Linked DNA regions of Cricetulus griseus. The protein of the gene in region 3 purifies or fractionates together with the protein of the main gene of each other region. This does not show direct contact. Links are inferred from orthologs where the notes say so. Each region holds a gene or a part of one and is shown on either strand. Other genes may lie near its edges.

What was found. The genes of interacting proteins can lie anywhere in the genome.
Region 1: the proteins of Kat2b (region 3) and Gli1 purify together in Homo sapiens (affinity purification with western blotting; 3 studies listed by BioGRID). This does not show direct contact. The link is inferred for Cricetulus griseus from reciprocal best matches to the Homo sapiens genes KAT2B and GLI1.
Region 2: the proteins of Kat2b (region 3) and Taf6l purify together in Homo sapiens (affinity purification with mass spectrometry; 5 studies listed by BioGRID and IntAct, counting the BioPlex papers as one, with this or other methods). This does not show direct contact. The link is inferred for Cricetulus griseus from reciprocal best matches to the Homo sapiens genes KAT2B and TAF6L.

Annotation. Positions count from the first base shown.
Region 1 is NW_023276806.1:130,393,499-130,397,020, reverse strand, and holds part of Gli1 (zinc finger protein GLI1), read right to left. Parts: exon of another isoform or gene 3,411-3,522; intron 3,323-3,410; exon of another isoform or gene 3,317-3,322; 5' UTR 3,291-3,316; coding exon 3,191-3,290; intron 3,088-3,190; coding exon of another isoform or gene 3,022-3,087; intron 2,966-3,021; coding exon 2,873-2,965; intron 1,980-2,872; coding exon 1,784-1,979; intron 1,559-1,783; coding exon 1,414-1,558; intron 1,063-1,413; coding exon 970-1,062; intron 882-969; coding exon 750-881; intron 429-749; coding exon 279-428; intron 1-278. UniProt on the Homo sapiens protein: Acts as a transcriptional activator. Binds to the DNA consensus sequence 5'-GACCACCCA-3'. Regulates the transcription of specific genes during normal development.
Region 2 is NC_048596.1:51,319,384-51,321,720, forward strand, and holds the end of Taf6l (TAF6-like RNA polymerase II p300/CBP-associated factor-associated factor 65 kDa subunit 6L), read left to right. Parts: intron 1-805; coding exon 806-934; intron 935-1,032; coding exon 1,033-1,794; 3' UTR 1,795-1,835; downstream 1,836-2,337. Other genes in the region: Tmem179b (transmembrane protein 179B), read left to right, coding at 1,893-1,988. UniProt on the Homo sapiens protein: Functions as a component of the PCAF complex. The PCAF complex is capable of efficiently acetylating histones in a nucleosomal context. The PCAF complex could be considered as the human version of the yeast SAGA complex.
Region 3 is NW_023276806.1:249,617,849-249,621,370, forward strand, and holds part of Kat2b (histone acetyltransferase KAT2B), read right to left. Parts: exon of another isoform or gene 3,315-3,522; intron 1,959-3,314; coding exon 1,844-1,958; intron 136-1,843; coding exon 99-135; intron 1-98. UniProt on the Homo sapiens protein: Functions as a histone acetyltransferase (HAT) to promote transcriptional activation. Has significant histone acetyltransferase activity with core histones (H3 and H4), and also with nucleosome core particles.

The sequences.
Region 1 (3,522 bases), about 120 Mb from region 3:
TTTGATTCCCCAGGACCCACATGGTGGAAGAAGAGAACCAAGTCCTGCAAATTGCCCTCTGACCTCCACACAGACACCCTGGAATGCAAGACTCCACCACCCCATAAAATGTAACTGAAAACATTTTAATAGATATCAATGTGCTCATCTTTCTATCAATACAGTCTTCAGCAAGATGTTTAAACATCTGCTTATGAAGGAAGGGACTTTGAAGGCAAATGTCTACCTTGGACCCTACCTTGATTTGGCACCAATATGGGGAGGGATGGGTGCCTCACCGTGCACTTGTGCGGCTTCTCGCCCGTGTGTCTACGCATGTGCACCACCAGCATGTACTGGGCTTTGAAGGGTCTCAGCTCCCTGGAGCAGCCCCCCCAATGGCACACGAACTCCTTCCGCTCCCCATGGATATGTTCACTGTTGATATGCTGAGGAGGGAGAAGACGAGGCTTTCTGGGGTTCCCGATGCCACCCAAACCCGGGACATATCCCTTTCGTTCAGCCCCCCATTCATCCTCCTCAGCACTGCCTCCTGGGGGAGTTAAAGGTCAGGAAGGCAGCATATCCCACACTTGGGGTCTTTTAGCCTTCTATAGAAAAGCTACTCCAAGCTTTGGGTTGCAGGATTGAGCATGCCATCTCTGACCCCAGGATCCTTGAACCACCTGCTCTGCCCTTGAGCAGACCATAATGACCCACTCAGTCTCCTACAGGCTCCCACCAACCATCTGTCATCCCCTGGGGCTCACATGCACCAGCTGCTCCTGGGAGTCAAACTCCTGGCTGCAGCCATCCCAGCGGCAGTCAGTCTCATACACAGATTCAGGCTCAGGTTTCTCCTCCAGGTCCTCCCGCCCATCAAGCATCCCAAGCAGGGGATCCTAGGGCAAAGGACACACTCTTAGGGTCATGGGTGGCAAGTTTTGTTTTGCTCAGGTCCCACAGAGAGCACCCTGCCCTTTCCCTTACCTGTGTGCCTGTGGAGTTGGGGCTAGACATGTCCCCTTCCAACGGCTCCTCTGGGCATTTGCCTACCAGCATGTCCAGCTCTGACTTCAGCTTCTCCAGGGAAAGAGGTGAGGGTAGTGAGGATGGAGTAGTCAGAAGGGAAAGCGTGCCAGGTTTTTCTGCCCTATGGGCCCCCACCCAATAGCAGGACTCCTGTGAGTGTGGAAGGACTTCCTCCACAGCCCGCACTGGCGAATGGGATGGACAGGTGTGCTCTCATCTGAGAAAGTCTGAGTCAACCCTGCTGAGGGAAGGGGTGGGGCTGCCATCTATACCTCTACCTTCCCAGTACCAAAGGCTTTTATGTGTACTGGCTTCCTTCACCTGCCCCGCTGCTGCTAAGTCTACTACCCACCTATCCTGAGTCGGGGAAGCCAAGTAAGATGGCAATGTGGAGAGTCCCACCTGGCAGGTCTGACGTGGTCTCCGGGACTGAGGATGCAGCATCATTGCACCCCGAGTAGAGTCTTGTGGAACACAGGGCTGGACTCCATAGGAAGGCGAAGTCCCTTTTTGGTGACTCATCTGGGGTGGGAATCCTAGAGATGGGCTAGATGAAGAGGAGGCTGTTATTTAAGACTATCAGTCATCGGAATCCTTGCTCTATTTTGTGGGTTTCTGGAAGGCTTGGTTGAGTAAGCCCAGGGAGATTCTGAAAAGGGTTCCCCTTTGGGAGGGTTAGGGGTTCAAGTTGGGCTGGAGGTTTGAAGGGTCCGAGTCTTCTAATGGGTTTCAGTACATATTTTAGGGGTCTCTTAGTTTGAGGTGCCAGCACCTCATGGTGCCAATGGAGAGATGGCCATAGGAGCCTCCTGGAGATGTGCAGCGTGAGTTGATGAAAGCCACAAGAGAGCTGGGTGAGGTACGGATGACAGTCTGTAGATCCAGGCTGGCATCGGACAGAGGTGAGATGGACAGTGCCCGCTTCTTTGTCAATTTGACTGAACTCCGGGGAGGAGGAAAGAGTGGCCCTAGGGCAGGAGATAGGAGTCAAGAAACAGCAAAGGGGGCTGGAGAGGCAGCTCAGTGGTTAAGAGCACTAGCTGCTCTTCCAAAGGACTTGAGTTTGGTTCCCAGCACCCACACCAGCACAACCACCTATAACTCCAGCTCCAAGGATGCCCCGCACCTTTGCAATCACATGTGCAAACCCACACAGACACAAACACATACATTATTTAAAAAAATAAAATTTAGGGGCCTGGAGAGATGGCTCAGAGGTTAAGAACACTGGCTGCTCTTCCAGAGGTCCTGAGTTCAATTCCCAGCAACCACGTGGTGGCTCACAACTGTCTGTAATGAGATCTGGTGCCCTCTTTTGGTGTGCAGGCAGACACGCAGGCAAAACACTATATACATAATAAATTTTAAAAATTTTCAGAAAGAAAAGAAAGATGCAGTAAAGGTACATGCACTCAGTATGTGGGGCCTGACTCAAAAATTTATTTATTTATTTATTTATTTATTTATTGGTTTTTCGAGACAGGGTTTCCCTGTGTAGCTTTGGAGCCTATGCTGGCACTCTGACTGGCCTTGAACTCACAGAGATCCGCCTGCCTCTGCCTCCCGAGTGCTGGGATTAAAGGCGTGTGCCACCAAGAATTTTTTTATTTTATTATTAATTAATTTTTTAATTTTTATTTTATTATTAATAAAGAATTATTTATTTTATTATTAATTAATTTTTTAATTTTTATTTATTTATTTTTTTTGCCTTGCTCAACCTAGGACTTCTTGATGGCTCTCTGATCCCTGTCATCTCTGGACACTTCTTCCATTGATCTTCGTCCTTGCCTTCCCACTTCCTCCTTCCGAACAAGTCCCAGAGGGGCAGAGAGGGGACAGAGATCGCCTGAGTCCTCACCCTCAGAACAGCCGTTGGTCTCTCTGGCAGACCCATAACCCTGGGACCCTGATATAAAGTTGGCTTGGTGGCAAAAGGGCAAACCAGAAAATCCTAGAAAAGAGAGACAGCTGGAATGGGGCATTTGGATGGGGACACACAGGGCTTACCTTGAGACCCCACGTGAGATATGACCCCCAGCTCCAAGCATGCATGGCATGGGGTCTCAAATCCTCCTGTAGATAGGAAACTATTGTGGGGGAGGAATGAGGCTGAGAGGGATCCTAGGTGAGAGATCCGCCAAGCCCTCAAGGCCCAGGGACTGGTAAACACACTCACCTTCTGTCCCCAGGCTGGGGACCCCTTGGCTGGGGAGGGGTCGGAGGCAGCACGGCTCACCATAGCTATTGGCTTGTGGTGGAGTCATTGAGTTGAACATGGTGTCTCAGAGGCGGATGAGGGGCACTGCAGAAAGGAATGCAGATTTGCAAAGTTATAACCATGGTGAGAAACTAGATATATGGCAATCTCAGGCCAGCATGTCCCTCGTGCCCCGAACCTCTCTCTCAGAGACTGGTCATGGAAATCAAGTTGAAAATAATATCATTCAGCGGCGTTAAAATAGGAAGAAACAGCCCCAAGGGCAGGCAGAAGCAGCCTGTCCGTCTTGG
Region 2 (2,337 bases), on a different chromosome or scaffold from region 3:
CTTTCATAGTTATTTAAAATGTAATCCCCGTTTCTTTTTTGTCAGTAACATTTTTCCTAGGAATTTGACAGGTGGTTAGCATTTTCAAAAGTTCATGCTCCGTGGGTGAGTGATCCAAGTCTACCTTACATGTCAAAGACCATCTCAAATATAATAGCTTTGGCAGGGTTTTGTTTAGTCCACCTGATAACTACTCAATTTAAAACTGTACAGTCAAAGCCATGTGTGGTAGTACACTGCCTATAATCCCAGAGTCTGGGCTCCCAGCAAGCTCATTTCAATAAGGTGTCTTGATTGTTTTTGTGCAGCTCCTGTTTCTCTAGTAAGAACAGCACTTTCCCGCCAATTGTGTTCACTAGCAGTCTACAAACAATTTCTGTCATAATGATTTAATTATGTCATATTAGCCCACTGTAAAAGGCTAATATAATTTTTTTTTCGAGACAGGGTTTCTCAGTGTAGCTTTGGAGCCTATCCTGGCACTTGCTTTTTAGACCAGGCTGGCCTCGAACTCATAGAGATCCGCCTGCCTCTGCCTCCCGAGTGCTGGGATTAAAGGCGTGCTCCACCAACGCCCGGCCAGTAATGGATTTTTTTATATTGCCTGTATTTGTATGTCTTTATCCTTCATGCCTACCAAAAGATTGTACATATAGTAGATCCCAGAGAATCGATGGATATCTATCTCAATGAGAGAACTGAGGACTGAGCCCGACAACATTCCAAGTGGGTCTTTTGTGGGAAAGGTTACTCAAGAGGGCATATAGAACGAGGTTGCTTACTGTATTCCTTTTTTCCCTTGTAGGCAGTAGAACGAGTCCTGTACCCACATCTGCCCACATACTGGACAAACCTGCAGGCGGTGCTGGATGACTATTCCGTATCTAATGCCCAAGTCAAAGCAGATGGGCACAAAGTCTATGGAGCGATTCTGGTGAGTAGCGAGGCCCAGCTTCCCTTTCTTACAGTAGCTCAGCAGGTTTACTTTGAGATGCCTGCTGGTCCAGGTTTCTTCTAGCTCTTTGTTTACAGGTGGCCGTAGAGCGACTACTGAAGATGAAAGCCCAGGCAGCAGAGCCCAGCCGCGGTGGCTCTGGCGGGAGACTGTGCCATCGTGCGGAGGACTTGCCTTGGGACAGCCTTCTCCTCCAAGAGTCTCCTCCGGGGGGCGGCGCCGAACCAGGCTTTGGGTCTGGTCTCCCGCTGCCGCCAGGAGGCGCGGGGCCAGAGGACCCTTCTTCCTTGACCCTGGCAGACATCTACCGTGAGTTGTACGCCTTCTTCGGTGACAGCTTGGCCACTCGCTTCGGCACTGGCCAGCCCACGCCCACGGCCCCGCGACCACCCGGAGACAAGAAGGAGCCAGTGGCCGCCCCGGACTCGGTGCGGAAAATGCCGCAGCTGACCGCTAGCGCCGTGGTCAGCCCGCAGGGGGACGAGAGCCCGCTCGGCGGAGGCCCGGCGGCCGCCTCCACCGCTTCGGAGAGCAGGCCGCTGCCGCGCGTGCACCGGGCGCGGGGCGCTCCCCGTCAGCAGGGGCCCGGCGCGGGCACGCGAGACGTCTTCCAGAAGAGCCGCTTTGCGCCCCGCGGCGCCCCGCACTTCCGATTTATCATCGCTGGGCGTCAGGCCGGGCGGCGCTGTCGCGGGCGCCTCTTCCAGACTGCTTTCCCCGCGCCCTACGGGCCCAGCCCGGCCTCCCGCTACGTGCAGAAATTGCCCATGATCGGCCGCACCGGCCGCCCGGCCCGACGCTGGCCGCTCTCGGACTACTCGCTGTACCTGCCGCTGTGAGGCTGCCGCCCCTCCAAGAATAAATCCGCACCAGGAAGTGACGTGTCTGTGCTCGTGGGCGGGGCTTGGGCGGTTGGCTTCCTGGTGTCCTGTGCGCCATGGCGCTCACCTGGTTGCAGCGAGTTGAGCTCGCGCTCTTCGCTGCCGCCTTCCTGTGCGGTGCTGTGGCGGCCGCGGCAGTGACCAGGACCCAGGTGCGGCTGCGGGGCGGGCCAGCCTTGGGGCCGAGCAGGCTGGCTCTGGGGACTGGCCGCGGTAGCTTCACCGAGCTAGGGACTGAGAAGTCCCAAACTTGTTTGCTTGCCAGAGGAGCTGGACACGCAGAGCCTATTCGAGTCCAAGATAAACCGGTTAATAAGTTTACTTGGGTGCTGGGACACACAGGCCCAGTCTTTGCATTCACCCAATGCACAAATAGAAACATTTGTGCAAAAAAAAGTAGTATAGTGGAGTGATCAAGGTACCGCAAGATTGTAGTCCGGTGTGTGAAGTGAGGGAACGTATACACTTAGGTACACCAGGTTTATTATTGTTGGACAGTCT
Region 3 (3,522 bases):
AATGCTATGTACCAATTACATCACTTGGCCCTTTTCCTAGAAAGTGCTGGAAGGGGGAAAATCACTTCCATTAACATCCTCTAGCCCGGCTTGCTTACCTTTTCTCTTTTCCACTTGGTTTCCAGCCTGTCTCTCCTATATGTCAACAAAATTAAACACTAAATGAGAACTGCTCTGGGTCAAGAGAATAACATACTTACTACTTATTAAAAGCACCATACATGACAGCCATGTCTCAATAAATGTCTTATTTGGGGAAACACACTGAAATTAATAGCATTTGTTTTCTTTTTCATACAGCTTACAACATAAAATGCTTTCCCAGACTGGCAGCTATATTAGTATATCTTGTTCTCTTAATTGATTTATTAATTTCTTTTGTAGTGCTAGGAATTAAAGCCAACATCTCACATCACTACTGAGACAAGTGCTCTATCCCTGAGCTATGATCTCAGCTGGTTAGTGTTTGCTAAGGCAGGAATTCCAGCTCTTCAAAAGATAGAAGAAAAGGAGAAGAAACCAGTACTATCTATGTTTAAACTGCAAGTCAGAAATCTTCAATTAGCACACAACAAAGTGCTGCTGTTATTTTAGCTCAGCGCAGGGCTCTGTGCTGTGTGGTTTGGCCAAGTCCCTGATTGTGATGTAGATGGTTTACAGGGACCTGGTGTCTGAGGGATCTGGAGTTGATTCTTCTGTTCTCCTTTAAAAAGTTACTTTGGCTCTATCTCAGTTTACCTACCTACAAAACAAAACTACAGAAACTAGGTGGTATTGGCCCTTGTGACATGAGTTCTTTTTTTTTTTTTTTTAGTCCAAATAGCTAAACATTTGACAAAAGATGGAAAAGTAATGAATTGGGAACAAATAAAAACAGAAGAATGCCTGGCACCATTAGGCATTCAACATTGGGGCAACTACTCTGCTATTAACAGTGACAACACAGGGAAGTGTGAAACCCAGGTTCAGCATCCAGAGAACTGGAATAGGGCAGATGCAATGAAAGAGCATCCTGTCTCTTTCCTGAAGAACTTTAGTTTTGTCATTGGGTTCTGGGGTGGGGTGAGTAGTAATTATAAGAACTTAGGTTCAAACCAAATAAGATTACCAAATGATATTAATAGTTTTCAATCTACAAACCCCAATTATTTTGTATGGTTTAACCCAGTACAGTTTATTTTTAGCATGTTAAAAAGAATTCCTAAGAAAGGTACTGTAAAATAAAAACTTCAAACGACTGATGTGACTTCCATCATGCATGGAGAGGAGAAAAGAAGAGGCAATGGGTTCATGCAGGTGACAGTGGCATCAAGGCGGGTTGTCCACAGCAGGCCATTTGGAGAGCAGAATGGGTTGCTTCTTGTTCTGAACTTTTGCATGCTAACTTATACAACCATTTGAAGATGAGTTCCTCAATTTGTAAAAACAAAGATCCAAAGTTTCCATGCTATTTAATAGATACTGCTGTTGCCAACTATCCCAACTATCGTGTACAAGTACAAGGCCTTAATTATGTATATTAGTAATAACTCTTTTAAAGGTACTCTGGGTTTAGTTAGGAAGAAAACACATTAGAAAGTCTTTATTACTGCCCTACCCATCCCCATGTAGTGTCTCACTTTAGCCTCTAACCTCAAATTCTACATCCTGCCTTAGTCTCTCAATGCTGGGATTACAGGAAAGCATCCCACAACTAGTTTGCTGCCTATTTCAAAGACCAGAAGCACCACACATGGAAAGAGGGCAGGTGAAAGCTTTTCAAATGACTGTACTCTGGTAATCACTTCAAACTTATCTTACAGATCTACAGAAGAGTTTGCTTTTTAAAAGTGTCTATACATACTGATTCCAGGAATGCTTTCTATAGGAATCTGCCGAACTCCATCTTTGAAACATGATAGTCCAGGGTAGACTTTTCGAATCTGGGCTTGTTTTCTTTCTATCAGCTTTTTAATGATCTGAAAAGCATGAGGGAAAATGTGTTCAGTCAAACACACCCCACACCATAATCCAGGGCAGTCAGATAAAACTAAGGAGATGATGCTCCTGATGCTGTACACATGTTCTTGAGACAAAAAAGGAGAGAAGGCTGAAGACAAATTACCAGGTAAGAGGCAGAAGCATTTCAGGACCTGTGACATGGCTCAGTGGGTAAAGGCACCTGTCACCAAGCCTAATGACCTGAGTTCAATCCCTGGCATTCCACATGGTAGAAGGAGAGAGTCAACCCCAGCAAGTTCTTATCTGGCCAGAACACATGTCATGGAGTGTGTGTGTTATACATAAAATAATACAAAAATTTTAAATATATATTTTAAAAAGAAATATTCTTTTATAACACACTCAACTAGTGACATTCACACAAACCTTTGCCACTAAGTAAAGGACCATCAAAGAGAAGGAAAGAGAGGGGCTGACTAAAGAGGCTAGCAGGGGCCCTCCAGGTCCAGCCTCTTGTAGTCTCATATGTGAGCTGAAATAGAAAAATCACCCTCCATACCAACCTACATACATACGCAGACAACTTTACAGCTCCCTCACCCTTTCTCTTGCTCAAGTCGTGCCCTTCTTCCTCACAGGACACACGGTCTTACTGTTCTTGTGTCCATCATCTTATATATTGGAAGTGACCTTACCTTTGGTTATGCCACCCCAATTCATACAGTTATTCAGTGAAGCCAGCTCACCTGTGGAGCAGTAGGCATTTCTCTCTGCCTTCAGCTGATTTTGATCAAGTACACATTCAGAGACTAGAAAAGTTCTCAATTCACACAGCTCATTCATTGCTTTTATTATTCAAGGAGCTTTCCACAAGTAGAGTCTGGCATTTTAGAGTATTTCAAATTGTGGATTCTCTCATTAAAGATGCTGTTATAAGTCAATGGAAATAGTGGAGAAGAACGAAATAGATTCGAAAATGCTTGGGTCAGGAGCATTTTGGATAAGAGATACTTAGCCTTGTGGTAATATCTTTCTTGCACAAATAAAGCCTGTCTGAAGGTCAGATAATGGAGCTTGCCACTAGCTAACCATAGAGGTCTGGAGGTCTGTACTGACAGACAGGAAATGATGTAGCTGGGCAGAACCAGGATATAAGAGGAGACAAACAGGAAATAGCTCTCTTCTCTGCTGAGACGCTTAGGAGGTAAGGTGTGCTGTGGCTTGCTCCTTCTCTCTGATCTCTCAGCATTTCCCTCTATATCTGACTCTGGCCTTTTATTATCTAGACCAATTAAGAACACCTTTTACATAGTCTGTTTCTACAAGAAAAGAATTTTATTTTGGTATGATGCAGCTCTCTTTTAAAAATCTAGTTTGGAACACTGAGCATACGGCTGTGAGGGGAAAGACACAGATGGAACATTTTTATCAACTCATCCTTCCCCAAAGGCTCAGAGAAGCCTGGAAGAAGGGAGGGGCAGAAAGAACATAAGAGGCAGCAGATATGGAGGAAGGCTGTGAAAGGATGGCATGGACACCATTCGGCCGGTGCAGACACACAGGAATCTGTCTGCACAAGAG